Linked DNA regions of Drosophila melanogaster. The protein of the gene in region 2 purifies or fractionates together with the protein of the main gene of each other region. This does not show direct contact. Each region holds a gene or a part of one and is shown on either strand. Other genes may lie near its edges.

Region 1 (4,112 bases), on a different chromosome or scaffold from region 2:
CGGAGCTTCTACATGACCGTCTTCTATTTGCCGTTGATTGGTAATATGAAAATGTGTTTGATTTCTTGTTATGGAATAACATATAACTACAATATATTCTTTCAGCCTGCCAGATGTTCCTGATTTTGTCCTTTGTACTGCGTTCTACTCGTAGGAGTTCCCTCATTCTCATCGCCTTGCTGATTGCCGCCTGGGGTTTAATGTACATGACGCGCTACGCCTCTCCGCATTATGTGCCGCCCATGAGTAAGTTTTAAATCAATTAACTAAAACTCACTGTGTATAATTTTCAAATTCAAATTTTCACTTTTCCTACAGTGACTGCATATAAAGTCATCATGATGACCACCACCTATTGCTACATTCTGCACATCTGCATTATATGGCTGGATCTATATCCACCCAGATCGAAGGCTCCTGGCTGGCTGGTTAGGGTGATTAACTCCAATGTTCTGCGATGCATTCTGGGATTGAGATTTTCGGATGTGAGTAGTTAAGCCCCTATTGAACACATATACGTATTGCAATTCACTATATTCCTACAGTCTACCGACTATTGCGACATTCAGGAGAATCCCTGGCACCATATGGCCAAGATCCTGAACAACCTGAGTTCAATCTTGGTCATTATAACCTTTGCCATCGTAGATATTACGAGTGGGTTTTGAAAAACAGAATTTTTCTTTATTGTGCATTTGAGAGAATATTAATGGTTCTTAAATAAATAAGAAGTAAACAGAGAAGATTGTGAAGATTTTGCGACTACAAGTTGAAAAAGTGGGAGAGCGTGCTGGGCTGTTGCGACTCCTCGCAGTTAATTGCTGCCATTGTTCCAACTCCGATCCGGGATCGATTTGGATTTGGAGTGTTTTGGTATCGGAGCTTAGTGGTAACCGTATCCACCCAGGGACAGGGCAGGTGCAGCGTATGACTTAACCAGGGCAGGAGCTGCGTAGCTGATGGCTGGAGCCGCATATGACTTGACCACCGTGGGAGCAGCGTAGCTGATGGCTGGAGCGGCATGGGCGTAACTGATGGCTGGAGCGGCATAGGACTTGATCACCGGAGCTGGAGCAGCATAGGCGATGGCAGGCGCAGCGTACGACTTAACAATGGGCGTGGCATGGGAAACAACCTGTGCATGCAAAGTAGATTGTAAGATTAAATGGGAAAATATCAGAGTATATCCAGATCTTACCGAGCTGAAGTGCGAGTAGCTGGTGGCTGGAGCTGCCACCTTGACCGCCACAGGAGCAGCATAGGACTTGACCACCGTGGGAGCGGCGTAGCTGATGGCAGGAGCGGCATGGGCGTAGCTGATGGCTGGAGCGGCATAGGACTTGATCACCGGAGCTGGAGCCGCATAGGTGATGGCTGGGGCAGCGTAGGACTTGATGACTGGAGCTGCAGCTGCATATGTTATGGCAGGAGCGGCATGGGCGTAGCTGTAGTCCGGAGCCGAGTGTCCATAATCAAGGAGTCCAGGAGCAGCAGTGGCCACAGCCAGCAGAGAGGTAAGGATCTGGCGAGGTAAATGGAAAACCAAACTTTGATGTTAATCTTTTTGATCTAGTGAATATAAGATCGAGGTAATCCTTGTATGAAGATATCCTTTGCAGTCAGTATTATTGGCTTAAAGTGATAATACTGATCCTAGGCCGCATCCTTTCCAACCCTTTCCACTCACCAGAAGTTTCATGCTAGCGCTGGATAACGAATCACTTGGCTTGGAGGGAGAATTGCAACTGTAAGTGGACGTGTGCATTGCGTTACTTTTATACCCCTCGACGGCAGACCACGCACTCGCACTCTCGAGCGGACTGCGAACTGCGGACCGGAGGACAGGTGGTCGAGCGGACAGATCTTGACTAGATTTCGATCTGAGCCTCGGACGGACAAACAGTCAGCAGACAGCAGTCAACAAAGCGGGCCAAGCAGCACCAATTTGTGAAGTATCTCGGCTGCAGTGAAACTGCAATTCTCGTAGACGCAGCTCGGATTGGAGAGCCCCCAAACGCGGATGACGCAACCTGAACTGGAGCTGGGAGTTGGGAGCTCCGAACCGAAGGCAGACCACTTGCCGGCTAAGGAGTCGCCGCAGGAAAGGCGGTCTTTACACTGGGGGTGCCATTGTGGCTCGCATTTGGAAAGCGCACGCTAATTGAAATCGCTGATTAGCTGGCCAATTTGGGCAACGCGCCAGGTGACACGCCCCTCGAAAGCACGCAGCCTTGCCACTAACAACTTAATTAGCCAACGTAGAATGCCGTCTAATTGTTTTCGTTGCTATGTTTGAGTATTCTCGAAACAATTCTCGGCGTGGCGCTGGGAAATTCTCTCCAAATTGCATAATGAACGCTTGCCAAATCGGCAAACGCCAAAACCAAACACCAAGCAGCAATCCCCTCTGGCCGAAATATCTAGGCGAGCTTCATATTTATCTTTATCGTGCCTCGAATGCCGCTGCGTGCCACATTTGACCATATTGGATGGGTGATTTCAGCCGCAGCCACGCCGTCTCGTCTCGAGGACACTCGTGCGTGGCGAGGGGGTTTGGATCGAGTGGAGGCCCCAGTTCGCCAGCTCCAGCTCCAGCTTCAACTCGCCATCGATCCATCGACTTTGCCGGCTGAAATTGCCGGTTCAGCATCTGGCAGTTCGTGGGATTTTTTATGGCCGACTTGATTAACCCCACGGGATGTGCGGGGGTACGGAGGTGTGACATTGGGTCATCACAAAATTAATAATGCTACAAATTGTTGAGAATGCTCGTCGTGATCCTTATCACGGATTAATAGTGTCTCAAGTAATCATTATATCACTTATTCGCTTTAAGTATAGATATGGTGTATATATTCATTTCTTAAATGATTTATATTTTTGTGGACTTTACATAACTTTTTGAGACAATAAGGTAGTCCGTGTTTAAATACTTGCTTTATATATTAGGGTTAAGAAACTAAAGTTTGGAAAGCACATAATGTCTCAGATTAGCGCATGCAACTTGCAGCACTTCAGTGGAGTTCCTCTCAAGAGGTCTCGAAAACACCACTTCAACGCCGAAATCTCGTAAAAAAAACTCGAAAAAAAACTTAGCACAATGAGAAAAGGACAGCACGAAACGCCGCAAAAGAGACAGAGAGTCACCTGCGATCGCAGTTCATGCATAAATCATGCATGCCAGTGGAATGTGATTTATGTGAATTCTATTAGCAAATATTAAGTCAATAGGAGCAATTGTTGCCAGTGGTCGGCGACTGCCAAACAAGTGTTCCATGTCCAATTCGATCCGGACAGATGCGGACAGATCGGTGTTGTGTGTTGTGGTCGGTGTGTCGCCGGTCCTCATAAATAAAAGATTTCCCAGCCACTGCCCCACATTTTGGCCAGGTGGAAAGCAATTTTCCAGCAATCGGTCGGTGGATCAGAAGGGTGGCAAACTCGAATGCCAAATTGCCACATACTAAATGACGATTTAAGGCGATCAGCCGATCGATCCTCGTCTTGGTTTTTATGGCTTCGATCGAGAGGCGAGTCTTTAGCCGCATTTGGATTTGGCGATCGGGCGGCGTGTGCTCCAAAATGGGTGCAAAATGCCGCGAATTTTGGATGACGGGCCTAATTAGCCACTGGCCACAGAATGGATGAGAGAATTCAAAGCGATTGCCCAATGGATCGCAAGCGCAGAATTCTTCGCGGCGCACGCTGCGTATGCGTTATTTTTCGATCCATTCAATTAATTAACGCCGCTGCATTTGACTTGCAAATGCTTCGCGGAACGGCCAAGAAAAACATTGCAAAATGGAAAAGCGCCGCTTAATTAAATCAAAAACAAACGACGAAATCAACCAGCCTGAAAAACCAAATAAAAACCGCGTGGCATTTATGACGCTTTGCCTGAATTAATGAATGAATCGTGGTGGACATGGAAATGGATTTGGAGTTCAGCTTTTGGGAGCTGACAAACTTAGAGCCTCGCTGCTGACGTGACTGGAAGTTTTTGAAATGCACCGCACCAACTTTGATGAATTTGTTTTCAAATGTATGATTCCCTTAAAAATCGATTACAATTTGGATAATATTTTAAGCTAGCAGAAAAATTCCATGTGATG
Region 2 (4,689 bases):
CCGTTTGGGCCAATATCGTTTAGGGCCAGCCAGGTAATTAATTAATGTGGAAAAAACCAAAAACAACGAAGAAATTTCAATGTCTTGCTTATTCTACAGCGATTAAGAAAGAAAATGTATGGAATAATCCTATTAATAATGGGATATATTTCGAATATTGAACACTTCACTTTGATAAAATGATAACAAAAGGACATACCCTGTATGTGTGTGAATTTATCATTGATACTGCATTTAACAAATACACAATATAAATTTGCTTGGCTTTAGCACTTTTTGCCCGAATGGGGCAATAAACAATTTACTACCAACGATGTGTCAACTGTCATTGTCTTGGACTGATTTAAATACTATTAATTGGCCGGCAGACAAACGGCGCTATTTGCATACCATTTATCGCATTTGATATCTGGTCATATATGTATATTTATTTGGCAATGCCATATATGCGATGGACAAAAGATCTGCGAAATTCCAAAAGTCAGCCAATGAAGATCAACGAACAAAAGATGACAGCCCGTACACAAAGCAGTTAAAAAGATTTATTACATTTCCATGTGGCATCAACGCGGCGGTGGCAATAATTTCGTTTGCATAATTGTCGTTTAGTAACCCCCGAATCCGTACGGATTTCATAATATCAATACCATTTTGATATAACTAGGTGCGAAGACCCAGACAACAGTGATATCCTCTTATCAGTTTGCAAGCCCAAATGTATCTCAAAAGTTGACCATGTTCCACGAATAATTATTATGCTGATAAGATTGATAGCACGAACAAGATTAATGCATTAATTAAAATCAATGATAATTTTTTTTTTTTTTTGATAAGGATATCCCTTTTATTCCACTTGATGGGTACGTGTTATAAGTTATCATATTCGTGGTTCCTTTAATTTGTATCCATTCAATTTGATGTCATATCTGTATATTAACTTCCTTTATAGAAACTGAAACTTAATCTAACATTCTTTTCTATTGACTCAGCTGAATTTTGGAAGATATATACGTACAGATCTTAGCTATATATATGTAGTATAATAGCGGCCACGCCATCTGAAATGGAATATGTTGATTTGCCTTATGAAACTTCAGTTGATTTGGTGTCCAGATTGAAATTAAGATACATTTCCATAGTGCTTGAATCTTTTACTGCTCGAAATATTGCTCTAGTCAAAAGGGGTTTTCGATTCGTTGTTCGATTTCCTTGGTTCTGGTCGAGATTCATGCCCCATTGACGCCCTTCTATTGAAACGCTTTGTGAGTACCTTTAGCTATCGAGTTCTGGTTTTTTTTTAATGTATTTTCTGGCCTTTTTATGTATTTTACCGGGAGGGGTCTTAACAAAAAATATTACATGTGTCGTTTAGGGAGTTTTTTTTGCCCGAAAAAGAAACGCCCTTGAGGGGGGGGGGGGGTAATGAATACGTTGTGGCTAAGACGAGATTGACAACATTTCGGGGGATTTGGACAGTTGGGTATTGGAGGAGACCCTCTCCATCCGAGGGCTCTGAACTAAGCTAGATCCCAAAATGAAACCTGATCCTCTACAGCCGCCCGTAGTGTGCCTGGCTGGGCTTTCGGTCCGTAAAGAAGTTCCTCAGCACCATAATCTGGACGAGACCGATCACGATGACTGCGGCCGTCTCCAGGGATGACCAGACCATAACCCGCTGATTGAGATCTTCGGCCCGCTTGCGACCTTGCGCCTCCCTCAGTCGATGATGCGTCTGGGCGTCCAGGATGTCGTTGAGGCCCTTGTGAATCGCCTGCGACGATGTCTCCATCTGTGTGAGCACCGTGGCATGTTCATCCACACCGGGCAGAGCCGGCTCCTCGCCCACTTGGAAGTCCACGTAGACGATCTTGTGCGAGAAGGCCGAGAATTGATTGCCAAAGCAAGCGGTATACACGCCCGTTGTCTCGGCAACGAACTGATGACTATCGAAGGTGGCCTTCTCCAGACTGTAGATGACCTTGCCCTGCGGATCCTTCAGGGTGACGTCCACGTCCAATTGGCCACCGGCCGACACCTGGAACTCAAAGTAGGCGCTCGAGTTCTTCTTGATCTCCTCGTAGAAGCAATCCACCGCGTTATCGGCCAGATCGAAGGTGAATTCGACGGCAGAGATGCAGTGCATCATCAGAGCTACCGCAAATACAACGATTTGTGTGTTCATGGTTCGCCCTTTTTGCTTTTTGGTATTCCCTGCTGGATTCGTATGATTCCCTGCTTCACCGCCTGTTATTCTTCCAGCTGCAAAAGAAATGCGCTCGGTCAGTGCCAAGATTCCGGCCAAATGCTATGCCACCTGTCATTCCAATTCCATTTACTTACCAGCCTCCGTCCGGATTACGTGACGTGTTTTTGTTATTTGTGATATGCTATCGATATCGCCAGCATTCGGCGTTTTGTGTTATTCGCCGCACGATAGGTCTGGGGTTCTGACGTGTCAACACTCTTTTCCGCCACTCGCTGTGCAGCACTGCGGACCCACGTATATGCTATCGGCTACTGAGCAGCAGAGTTGCCACTCTTTTTTTTTCTTTGGCGCCATTATCAAAAATTGTTAAGCACTTAAAAATAAACTTTAACAATAAACATAGTTGTATACATATATGATTAAAAATTTACATATATATATTTTTTTTATATATTTATATTATAAATTTTAAAAGTACTAATTTTTTAAAAATGTACATTTCAGAATTTGAATTGTAAAGCCATAATTCTTTAAGAGTAAATGGAGAAAAAAAGAAAAGCGGAACACCGTCTACACCTGCAGGTGTATCAGTTCTTTCTTGGAGAGAACGGTGATCAGATTGTTTGCCGTGGTTATGCCCAGAATCTCGTCAATCTCGTTGCCCAAGGTGATGAGCTTTTGTTTACCCAAGGTGACGGGAGGTCCGTTTCGCCTGCGGAGACCATCAGCCGAATTATTAGCCGGAAAGTAGACGAGAACGTAGCGTACAGGGTCACATATGGCTACGTAATCCAGATCCGGACTGCAGACGGTGAATTTCCGCACAACCTTGGAGGCCTGCACGTAGCCGAAGGCGTGCAGCTGGCCCTCGTGGCGGACACTCCATTCATCTGGACGACTGGGCTGGTACATCTGTAGCCATATGGAGGCGTCGACGCCCTGGCGGGTAGCAAAGGCGGCTGGAAAGCCAGGACGCAGCGTGGTGGTGAGCACCAGTGGCGGGGGACCAAGAAAAATAGTGTGGGTGATGCACCCGCTGGTCAAATTGAAGCGTACTAAAAGAAGAAAATGTATTTATTAAGCATATGCAGCAGATGTATAATAGAATGCTTACCCATCTTCATTTCTTCATCAGCGGATATTAAGTCACATTCTTCAACGGGATCCTGCAGACTTGGAATGGGCAGTGGTGGAGCTTCCATTGGATGTACTTCCTCCGCTACGTCATCTTTCTTCTGCGCGAACAAACGTGGCCAGTTCTGAATCTCCGCCTTGGTTAGTGACAATTCTAGGCCATTCTCAGCCAACTTAAATGCACTTAAATCATCTCCCACACTGGCGTATAACTCTTCGTCGAATATAACCTCATCCAGATGCTTTACAACGACAGTGGTTTTAGAACCGCTCACGTTAAACTCTTTAGCGGATGCAGTTGAAGGAACATTGAAACGAATGAGCACATTATTATCCGTTTGGGACCAGCTATAACTAGGTGGACCTCCATTTTCCAGCTGGCCATCGTGATCACCTGAGGAATTCAAGCGGGCAGCGGCTGCTTCATCGGCTGCCCGACGCTCCTCGGGAGTCTGAACATCGCGGTTGCTGGCAATGACTAGGGACTCGGCGCGAGGCTCAAAGGCGCAGTAGTGCACAGAGCCAGTGGTCTCCAGCCGTTGACAGATATTATATGACCACTCGTCATTGGTGGGCGAATGAGTCCACCGTGCCCAGGTCAAGTCCATGTAATAGACGTGCGTCTGATCTTGGCCAACTGCATCACGGCGTGCCACATGACCGGCCACCAGCGAGATCTGCTTACGTTCCTGCAGCACATCCAGCCGGGCATCGAAGAGTGCAAAGCCGCGATGACCACTGTTATTATTCACCGGCGAGCGTGTAATCCGTTGCCACTCCTGCACATCGGTGCGCGTTCTGTCGCCGGTGTCCACCAGATGGTAACTGGTTATACCGTCGCAGATCACACAGAATCGTTCCGAAACGAAAACTATGGTGTAGTTGTAGTCACCCGACCGATGTAGTTCCCCATCGCCCTGATCCCTATAGTCCACCGTGAGGACAACGCGCTGGGCACGTGCGCGTCCAGTCTGTAGATCGTAGTTGCACTGCACCAGCTGGTGGCGCTTGTTAAAGAAGTAGCTGCAGTGGCGCATCCATGGATCGGCTACCAGGTGATTGTGTCGGGCAAAGAGCTCCGTGTGCAGCAGCGAGAACTGATTGCTGCTCGGATCCAGCACGTAGGCATCACATCCAAGTTCCTGGCGAAGAACAGGCACCGAATCGAATGCCAATTTGTAGCCAGAAAAGTCCGAGCACACCAGGTTGCGATCCACTTTCAGTTCCACCACCGGCATCTTGCTTTACTGCGCCAATGCTGAGTTGGATTATATTGGAGATTTCGAAAAAATAGAGATAGATATTCCAAAACAAATCAAATCAAATCGGTAGTAGACCGGATAGAGATG
Region 3 (3,903 bases), on a different chromosome or scaffold from region 2:
TTCGCTTATCATGTTTTCCGTCAAGTCTATTTTCGGTCAAAATGTTGGGGCATTAAGCCAGTATATTTAATATTTTTGTATTGAACTCACCATATGGGATACCCTGAAAATTATAATTTTAAATGTCTTATAAAAAAATATATAGACATAAGAAAGAACGCTTGAGTCGATTTCCTCAACTATCAGTTACTCCTTACTCAGCCGCTGGAAGTGCAAAGAAGAAAGTTCAACTATATTTTTGGCATACTGAAATTATTAATATTTAATATAAATTGCAATTTACTATTCATATATTTCACTAGATATAACAGCATATAGTCCTATATATCCCATCGGAATCGGGATCATCGCCTAACGGGTTTCAGGGGTCTGCAGTGGGCGTTAAGGCGGATTTGATCTGAACCGCATTACTTTGCATGGGCATTACTTAACTTCATCGCGGCCATATCAAGTTTGTGCACATTTTTCTATTAATAATTGCAAGTGCGAGTGTGCGGCGATCAAGGCAAACCGCCCCTGCTCCAGATCGAGTAGTACTCTCGTTTTCAGTTCAAAGACCAGTTCGGTTCGACGGCAGTTTGTACTATGAGTTGGCAACAAAGTTGTCCAGCTGCCGAGCAACTGCGTCTCATTTCTGGAGCGGCTTTTTGTCAACGCCCCTGCTGTAGCGCCGGTCTGAGGCCCCGGAATTGATTAATTACTGGCATCGGTAATCGGCCATCGATCGAGATTGTTTTAAGCCATTTAGCTGTCCAATGTTTGCTGCACTTGAAGGCGTGGGAGTTGGGCTAAGGGTGTGGCTTCTAATTGCCGTTAAAAAAGGTGAGTCGATCCCCTGGTAATTGCGTAAAAATTATTTGAAATAAATATTCTGGGACCACGATCTAGATACATCTGCTAATGGCATATAAATAGTTACTTAAGCGCTAGCAACCGTAACTAAAACGCCTTTCAACTGTTTTAATAACATTTTTTTATTCAAAAAGAAACAAATTTCCATGTGACAACAGCGGGGTGGATAAATATAGACCAGAGAGTAAAGCGGAAAGCGATAGACTGGATAGGATTGACTTAGATTGCTGAAGAAATGAGAACCCAACGGGATCTCAGCAGAGGACAGACCTTTCGGTAACTTAAAAAACCAAAAAATGTGGTAAAGATGCGAGCAAGTGGCGGTCAGGATCAATGTAGGGGTAATCCAGAAGTCATTTCAGGTGATTACCAGGTGCCTGGTGCGGGTTCCAAGTTCACGGAAGCAGCGGACTGCACATGTCCTGGCAGAGGAGCCACATGGACAGCTCCACGGGTCTTGGCCACATAGCTGGCCTCCGGAGCGGCGACGGCCACCACGGCGGGGGCGTGGGCAGCAACCACAGCGGCGGGAACGGGAGCGGCAACCACCGCTGGTCCAGACTGGATGAGCACGGGTCCGGCTGGGGACAGGGACAGGGGAACGGCAGCGGGAACCGCAGATGCCTGGATGGCCACCGAACCGGCGACGGCGGGAGAACCGACCACCAGACCATGGGCGGAGGTCAGGAGAGGCACCACCGAGCTGTTGACACCCCAGGCCAAAGCGAACAGGACTACGACAACGGCGAACTGAAAATAAGAATCTTGATTTAGATGGAAACTCAGGAACTATGATAAAAATAACTTATTTGAAGTTTTTTTAATTTTGGAGTTTCTCTGAATGGGGTCGTAATGTGTTCAGCGATCTGATATTAATTTATGTATAACTCGATAAAGATCTTTTATGTCTACTTTTGCAGCATACCAATTTGTATAGAAATGTTTTACTAAAAACAACATAAATCCCTTCATGTTGTCCTTTTACATAACACTAGCTGTAACTAAGCTCCAGTTATCCGATATCCCTTCAATCTCACCTTCATGTTGGCTTTTGTGATCTCAGTGACGCTTGAAACGAAACTAACTGACATCTGCCCGTTGGCCAAGTGCTTTTATAGCTCCGATCCATAATTTCATTTAGCATATAAGGCCAGTTCTCGGATTGATCAGCCATGTGTATGTTTGCTGCACAAATGCGGAAACCGGGCCAGAGAACAAACCACGTAATACCTTCAGTCCCAACCCCAACCCCAACCCGAACCCCTTGACCTTCCCGAATCAATAACCACAATTCATTGACGACAATTCAAGTGCGCGACAATTAGCCACACCGGTTGACATGACGAAAACAAGACTGGTCTCATTTGATTCGGCCAATCCATAACCATGACTTCAATATCTGTATATGATATACACTAAAGCCATGTCTCGGGTGCCCCTAACAACAATGGATAGGCAAATTACAAGCCACCGCAGCACCACTGTGCCTCTGTACCACCATCGCCCCACACACATTCAGCACCACTGGCTGTCCATTTAAATTTCATCAGCAGAATGTAATTAAATTCACTTCGGTTAGCTCGCCCTGAAATTAATGTGCCGGCCGCCAGTTGTCGGCAAACTGATCCATTTTGGTCACCGACTATAGATTTCTCGATTGCATTTGCATATCACTAATGCAGTCAACGCCAACATATGTCCAGGAATACCATATAAAAATCAGAGTCCATATGTAGGAAACGATTTCACTACAAATATTACCAATCCTTAAAATATGAAAATTAAATTTTGTAAATTTTATTTGGTATTTAAATATAAAATAATGGTTTATAATTTAATATATGTTAAGTTATACCCCCTTTTGTAGAGTAATCCGTAATTGTATATATAGAACATATTTATTGATTCCATTAAGAAACGATAAGTAAATCAAACCACTTTCGCTTTTAAGTCGGAAAGCAATTCTACGTAATAAATTACAAAACATTTGAATATCAGTAGAGATTGTCATACGTTTAATTTTTTCTAAGTAAGAGCTGTACATTTTAGGGTAAATTTTTGTGAAATTAAAAATTTAACAACACTATATCTTTCATTTAACAGTCAATTAAAGCTTTTGTCAAAGCAAAATCTTCAGTCAGTATACACAAATAACTAATTCCGTTTCAAGCAAGCATACTTTATATTTTCGAGTACTATACTTGATGTAAAGAACTCCCACTGAGAAGCAGAATCAGGCTTGGTTCTAGAAAGGATTCGGAGGCTTTAAAATGGCACGCCTGGTGTTTACGGAGAAAGATCACAATGCATACGATCCCAAAAAGTATAAGGTAACCACTGCCGGAATACAGTCCATAAAATGAGCATTAATCTCCAACTTTTATGTTCATCCAAAGGTGGTGCACAAGAACCACTGGCGACAGGTCAGCCTGCTGCTGCAGCCTTCCAACAAGAAGTGGTGGGAGGATCCCGATGTCATTGTTGCGTGAGTAGAGAACATTGAGGGTCGAACCACCAGCCAGGTGGGCGGTGGGGAAGTTTGAGTGGTTGGCACACGTGTGTCAGAATTCATTGCCGTCAAGTGCTTTTCGTGCTGTTTATGGCTACACTGAGAGGAATACTTAGTAATTGTAGGTAAATCAAAAAAGGATTTTGCATCAAGTGAATAGGATTCGGAATCAAAAAAAATCTTTTGAATTTAATCTTGAAATACAAATTTATACCTTAACAACACAAAACTCCTTTCCAAAATTAGCTGCTTTTCTCCTGTGCACTCGAGTTGGCCAATTGGTTGGTTCGGTGACTCTGACACCGATTGGCTCCAATGCAGCGCGCTGCCATTCAATTAAGATTCTTTGCCACAGCCGCAGCCATAATATTTTATTGCATCCATCAAATTGTCAGACTTACACATAAAGTATTGGCCTGCCACACCCAGAAATATTTCCATGCCAATTAAATGTGCGATGGGGAAATATTCGCACTCAATTGCATCACATCGTCTGATAAGATTATTTATCACTAATCCATAAACTAATCCTGCTGCCCAAA
Region 4 (5,579 bases), on a different chromosome or scaffold from region 2:
ATTCACAAACGTCTTGGCCTCCAGGTCAATGTTGGCTGCTGCAGTTGCGCACTAAAATAAATGACAATCAATTAAAAGCAGCAAATTCACTTACAATATTATTGCTATTACAGGCTTAGTTTAGTCTAGGTCTTCTAAGTATCCTCAAACTATATAGAAACTGACACGCATCTAAATGAAACATATTTCAAACACGCAAAATTATGATTTAAAGTTATCTAAAGACCACATCTTTTTGTGGGATCTTTGTGGACCCATAGATTATTTAATCGGTACAGTGCTTACGCCAATGCCCGCTATCAGCACCAGAAGCAGCAGCAGGCCCATCTCCTCGGGAATCGGTTTCACTTTCGCACTCAACACCGGATCTGCTCGAACTGAGGTGCTCCGGCCGTGGAGCTGGCATTTAAAGCTTCTCCCGGGCGGCTGATAAGCCTAATCAGCGAGAGATTCTCGCCCGGAGGCCGAGCCACAATAATTGAGAACAAAAGTGGGATTGTGGAATGCCATGATGTCTTGTTTATTAAGCGGCTCAATAAAGATGCAATAGATTGCTAAGAGTTGTATATCTAGAAGTGGGCGAGGTCATGGAATCGGGTCAGGGCGAATCGGGAAAGCGAATCAGGTGCGGATCGTCTAGTTTGGGCGCTGCACGGTGCGGTTCTCGTGGCGGATGTTCACGTCCACGATGCTCATGTTGGGCGTGAGGAAGTTAACCAGGCGGTCGACTCCGCTGCGGGGCAACCTGTCGAAGGGGAATCCCATGGACTGGCGATCCGGGTAAAGACGGTCACGGACGCCACAGTAGGAAGCGGCATCGCTGCACCGACCCACCAATTGCTGGTCAATCTGGAGGTGGAGATAATTGTCAAAAATATCCTTGATTTACTAGCCAGCTAACATACCCTGTCGTTCTCATAGTTCGACACCATGATGAACAGCACGCACTGCAGTCCCTCGGGCAGACCCTTTGGCACCAGCATGTGGTTGGGCCAGCCGCAGCCGCAGAAGTTGAACTCCAGCTCCTCCGGAGTGCCGGCCGCCGGACGATTGGCATCCAGGTTGCGGAAGGTGCGCTCGAACGGAATGGTCACGCTCGACTCCGTGGAGCGGCGGCGGATGGTGTTGGGTCCCGGGTTCAGCGAAGTCACGAACTTGTCCAGCTCGATCATCATGGAGCGCTGATCTCGCATCAGCATGGGCTGGCCACGCTCGTCGTTCTTCGGCGCCATGAAGATGCGCACGTAGCCGAAACGCTGGGCACCACTATCGTTGTTCAAACTGATGGTATAGGTGAAGGGCAGATGCTGCAGGTGGGTGAACCTGGCGAAGACATTACCTCGCGGCAGGAAGTCGAAGCCACGGGACATGTCCACGTCCGACTGCTGCCAGAAGGTGGTCAGATTATTGGGACGACCTCCATTGGTGTCCACCTGGATGCCCGCGATCGAGACGCCCGGGTAGTTTAGTTGGTTCTCGGTATAGGCGGGCAGGCGCGACTTGTGCTCCTGGAAGATGCGGTCGATGTACGAGTGCCACTTGTAGAAGACCGGGTCGCGCATGGCCGTGGACACATCACCCATCACGCCAAAGGACTCCAGGTGCTTGCTGGTCGGATCGTGGGCGTACGAGATGAAGGTGTGTCCGTTGTTGTGCAGGTCACCATACTAGGGGAGCAATAGGATTAATCCCTAGAATAATTTACTAAGGGTAAGGACTTATTACCAGCACTCGGTTGGGCGACAGAATGGATGATTCAATCATGTTGCCGAGGGTATCAATGCCCGTCGCCTCATCCAATGGCACCCGGTTGCCACGCTCCTGAAAGGGAATATGGCATGTTATTTAGTTAATGGAAAACCCACCAACAACTCACATCCATGACAAATCCTTGGTGAATGGCCTCGTAGATGCGATCACGCCAACGCTCCAGATCTCCAATCTCCACATTCAGCTGGTCGGACTCCCGGTTGAGATCGCTCAACCTGGTGCTCTCGAAGCGCGGTGGCCACGCGCGGCTGGCTACCAGAGAGTCCATCTTGGGGAAGTAGCCCTCGGCAATGGGATCCCTCAGGTTGTTGAAGGGCAGAACCCTGGCCAGGTTGTTGCTGAACCGCTCCGCATTGTAGCGGGCGATCACCTGCTGGTGCATGTAGTAGAAGAGCTCGCCACGACGATCCTTGGCCACTATGCTGCGGTCGGAGGCCTCGAAGGGGTAGACCAGATGCCAATGCCAGTGGTGAAGGTTGATGCCCAGATCCTCGCGGAAGTACCACAGCCGGTGCTCGGGATCCAGATCGGAGGCGGTGTAGTCCCTGGGAATGGTGATGGGCATCCGGGAACCGGGCTGCACCACAAAAGACTCCTCCCGCATCTTGCGGATCACCTGCGAGTCGATGAAGCGGTCGGGGAAAGTCTGCGAGAAGGATGGCAGATCCAGGCCCTGGGTGTCCGGACGATGGAGCAGCGCCACCGACAAGGCGTAGTTGAAGAGCACCGGGTTGACCCGATCCCTGGCGTACACCGCCACGCTCTGCAGGTCGTCCACGGAGCGCATGTTCATGAATATATCGATCAGGCGGCCGGCGATCCTGCGGTGCTTGGGCAGGAACAGCGAGAACTGCTCGTCCCGGCCCAGGGACATGGGGATCCGCAGATCGGGAATGGAGATCTCCCGGACTGGAACGCGCTGCTCCACCTTGTCGCCGACGCGGCTCTGCACCTCGTTGCTGATGGGTCGGTAGCGGTCGGTCAGGAAGGAGTCGGGCACATCGAACACGGTCACCCTCTTGCCCTTGTCCATGAACACTGGCTCGGTGGGATGGTCGAAAAGCAGGAGGAGATTCTTCTTGTCGGCCATTTTCAATGGGATGTCAGGGAGGACCTGCTGGATCGCGGAGCAAACTAAATGGGGAATGTGACTGGAAGTCTGGGAACTTCACGACTGTGACTATTCACCGAAAGAACTGCACATTTTATACAAAACTTCGAAGGCACTAGTATCGGTTTTGAAAACCACAAGAACGCCTGAGAATTGAAATTGTCGACAAATTGCGGCGATAAGGATATAGTATGGAAACCGCAGTGTTGTTTTAGCATATTTCTAAAATGCAGTTTTATTATTTCAAGAGTATTTCATTTGGTTTTGCTTTAGCTTATCTATACATATATACTATTGGAATGAAATCGGATTTTGTTATCTCTGGGATATGCCTGCGTTGTAAATCAAAACTTCTCTACGCACACGATCCTCCGGTCAGATAGCATCACATCTAAACAATTTAATATAATAGTATGTATATATATGTAGCTACATGCATAATACGGCAATAATAGTTATTACAATTCGGCTATAATCGATCAATTCGTCCCTAATTCCCTACTACTGCTTTGATATACAATACATATATTTATTTAGCATAGCGCTAAAAAGAGAGATACAACGAGATATTTGGCGAGTGAAGAGATGAGCAATATCGTACGACAAGCGGATCTACATATATATAGCGTGTATATACAGGAAGTCTGTGGAAATTGTATGCTGCTGTTTCCGTTTCCGTTCTCGTATTCGTTGTGTAAAAGCGATAGGTTCAGTTGGTTAGTTGTTTAGATCTTGTAAAATGTATCTCAGAAAAGCCCTGGGCATGTCCCGTGTTCCTTGGCCATGATATGTAGTGTTTAAGCTCTTAGAATATAGAGTTGTGGGGTCTTCAGCTTGGTTCCGATCTCTCAGCCCGAAGAGAAAGTAAGAGGTGATGGCTTTTGTGTGAGTGTAAAGACTTTAATCACATCCAAAAATGCATACACATGTATTTACATAATATCGTGCAGTATAAACCAAGAGTTGTACAAAAATATATCTATGTTTCTGTATATATAAATATTCGATCGTGTTCGGTGTACATATGCAATTCAAAACAGAATTCAGTGCCGTTAACAACTCAAAACTGTTGTTCAAATCGATGTGTTGATGGGGATATATTGTAGTTTGATTTTAGTTCGGTTCAAGCGCATTTTTATCTACCCTTGTATACATATACATACATATAAAACTGGGGAATACGATCCGGTAACGTCGGGGCATACATAGTTACAAATAGTTCTCGGTACATACATATAATACTTGTTCGATTTCGTTTTCGATTTTGATTCACTTCTCAACTTGGGGAGTCGGTTGTCTCTAAGGATTGCATGTGTATATTGGTGCCCAAATAGTTTCAGACTACGCTAAAGCTACGGATAACATCTAGTTCTAGTTCGGTTTAGTTTGCCTTTGCTCGTTTCTTTCGATTCAATTCAATTCAAATCGCTTGCTCAACTTGATGGCTTCAAAGTACAGAGTACGGAGTACACACACACTTATATATCGAGGAACTTTCACTACTTTCAACAATATCGACATCAACAACGGGGATCCAACGAAATGTACACTTTAAACGACTATCCGGTGCAAATATACATGGGTTACTCGATCGGAGAGAATGCCTGGCCTTTGTACTGAGGTTCGCCCGTATCACACATCCGCTATCCGCTATCCACTAATCCAATTCAACACTGTGCCTACTACTTACTTACGCAGATACTTTGAACGTCTGGGACTCAGGTACAAGTTTCTTTCGATGCGACGTGGTGCAGCTGTATTAACCGAAGGTCAAATCAGAAGTTTCAACCCAAAAACCCAAACCATAAAAATGCGATCCCAACCCGCGCGCCCCACATCGTGGGCTGACTTCCGTTCCGTTAACTTAGTTCGAGGAGGTGGTGTTCTGAAACTCCTGCCGGCAGTAACCCATCACAATGTCCGATCGGCAGTCGCCGCCCATTAGACCCGGCAGGAGCACCGCCGCCCCCAAGATGGTCACCAGGGCTCCGAAGACCACCAGGCCCAGAGCGGGCAGCTTCTCCCGGCTGAGCAGGGCGTGCGGCTCCATCTGAATGTAGGCCAGGCCGGGCAGGATGTAGGCCAGGGGAATGGCCGCCAGGAGACCCTGAAATGGGTGGATTGTTGAATGTACTGATGGGCTGACGGGCTGATGTTCTGATGGGCTGGCTGATGGGTGGGGCATAAATTTGCATGGCAAATACAAAGACGGGTTCCGGCCAGAATTTGTAGATGCCGTTTGGGATTGGCGTTGTGGCCAATACCCGTGACTGGAATACAAGGGGCAAATGGCTACGGACGATAATAATAAACTTGGCCATACGGTTCTCCCTTTGGTCTGGCAAATGTGAATGGTGAAATCGGAATTAGTCTCAGATGTATTTAATGAAGCATTTGGTGGATTCTTTGTTGCATAGCTTTCTACTTGAATATATGGACTTTGGGAATTGGAATTTATTCTCTTTCATCTAGGCCAAATATTCACTCGGAAATAAATGCAAACGAAAACCGTAATAAATAATCTTTAAGTTTGCAAATTGCTTAGTCGAAGTTATCTCGATGATAAATGGTCTGAGCATTATAAATGATAAGAAATGTGTTCTTTCGGAAACTAGGAACATAAATGATTAATTTGTACATTAAAAAAGGTTTTGGGTAAACTCTTGCTGATTGTGATTAAACTAAAACACAAGTAAGC

The links.
Region 1: the proteins of p24-1 (region 2) and CG34205 purify together in Drosophila melanogaster (affinity purification with mass spectrometry, with the first as the bait; one large-scale study listed by BioGRID). This does not show direct contact.
Region 3: the proteins of p24-1 (region 2) and CG7203 purify together in Drosophila melanogaster (affinity purification with mass spectrometry, with the first as the bait; one large-scale study listed by BioGRID). This does not show direct contact.
Region 4: the proteins of p24-1 (region 2) and PPO2 purify together in Drosophila melanogaster (affinity purification with mass spectrometry, with the first as the bait; one large-scale study listed by BioGRID). This does not show direct contact.

What each region holds. Positions count from the first base shown.
Region 1 is NT_033778.4:22,129,446-22,133,557, forward strand, and holds CG34205 (uncharacterized protein), read right to left. Parts: upstream 1,855-4,112; 5' UTR 1,766-1,854; coding exon 1,688-1,765; intron 1,523-1,687; coding exon 1,199-1,522; intron 1,136-1,198; coding exon 884-1,135; 3' UTR 669-883; downstream 1-668. Other genes in the region: NtR, read left to right, coding at 1-40, 106-246, 319-485, 546-668.
Region 2 is NC_004354.4:11,850,081-11,854,769, forward strand, and holds p24-1 (p24-related-1), read right to left. Parts: upstream 2,451-4,689; 5' UTR 2,341-2,450; intron 2,260-2,340; 5' UTR 2,183-2,259; coding exon 1,550-2,182; 3' UTR 829-1,549; downstream 1-828. Other genes in the region: CG10347 (uncharacterized protein), read right to left, coding at 2,777-3,261, 3,321-4,578.
Region 3 is NT_033779.5:7,751,213-7,755,115, forward strand, and holds CG7203 (uncharacterized protein), read right to left. Parts: upstream 1,975-3,903; 5' UTR 1,896-1,974; coding exon 1,890-1,895; intron 1,603-1,889; coding exon 1,219-1,602; 3' UTR 958-1,218; downstream 1-957.
Region 4 is NT_033778.4:9,041,761-9,047,339, forward strand, and holds PPO2 (prophenoloxidase 2), read right to left. Parts: upstream 2,950-5,579; 5' UTR 2,861-2,949; coding exon 1,877-2,860; intron 1,822-1,876; coding exon 1,726-1,821; intron 1,668-1,725; coding exon 906-1,667; intron 850-905; coding exon 637-849; 3' UTR 501-636; downstream 1-500. Other genes in the region: Ance-4, read right to left, coding at 1-51, 286-327; CG13743 (uncharacterized protein), read right to left, coding at 4,746-4,988. UniProt on the Drosophila melanogaster protein: This is a copper-containing oxidase that functions in the formation of pigments such as melanins and other polyphenolic compounds.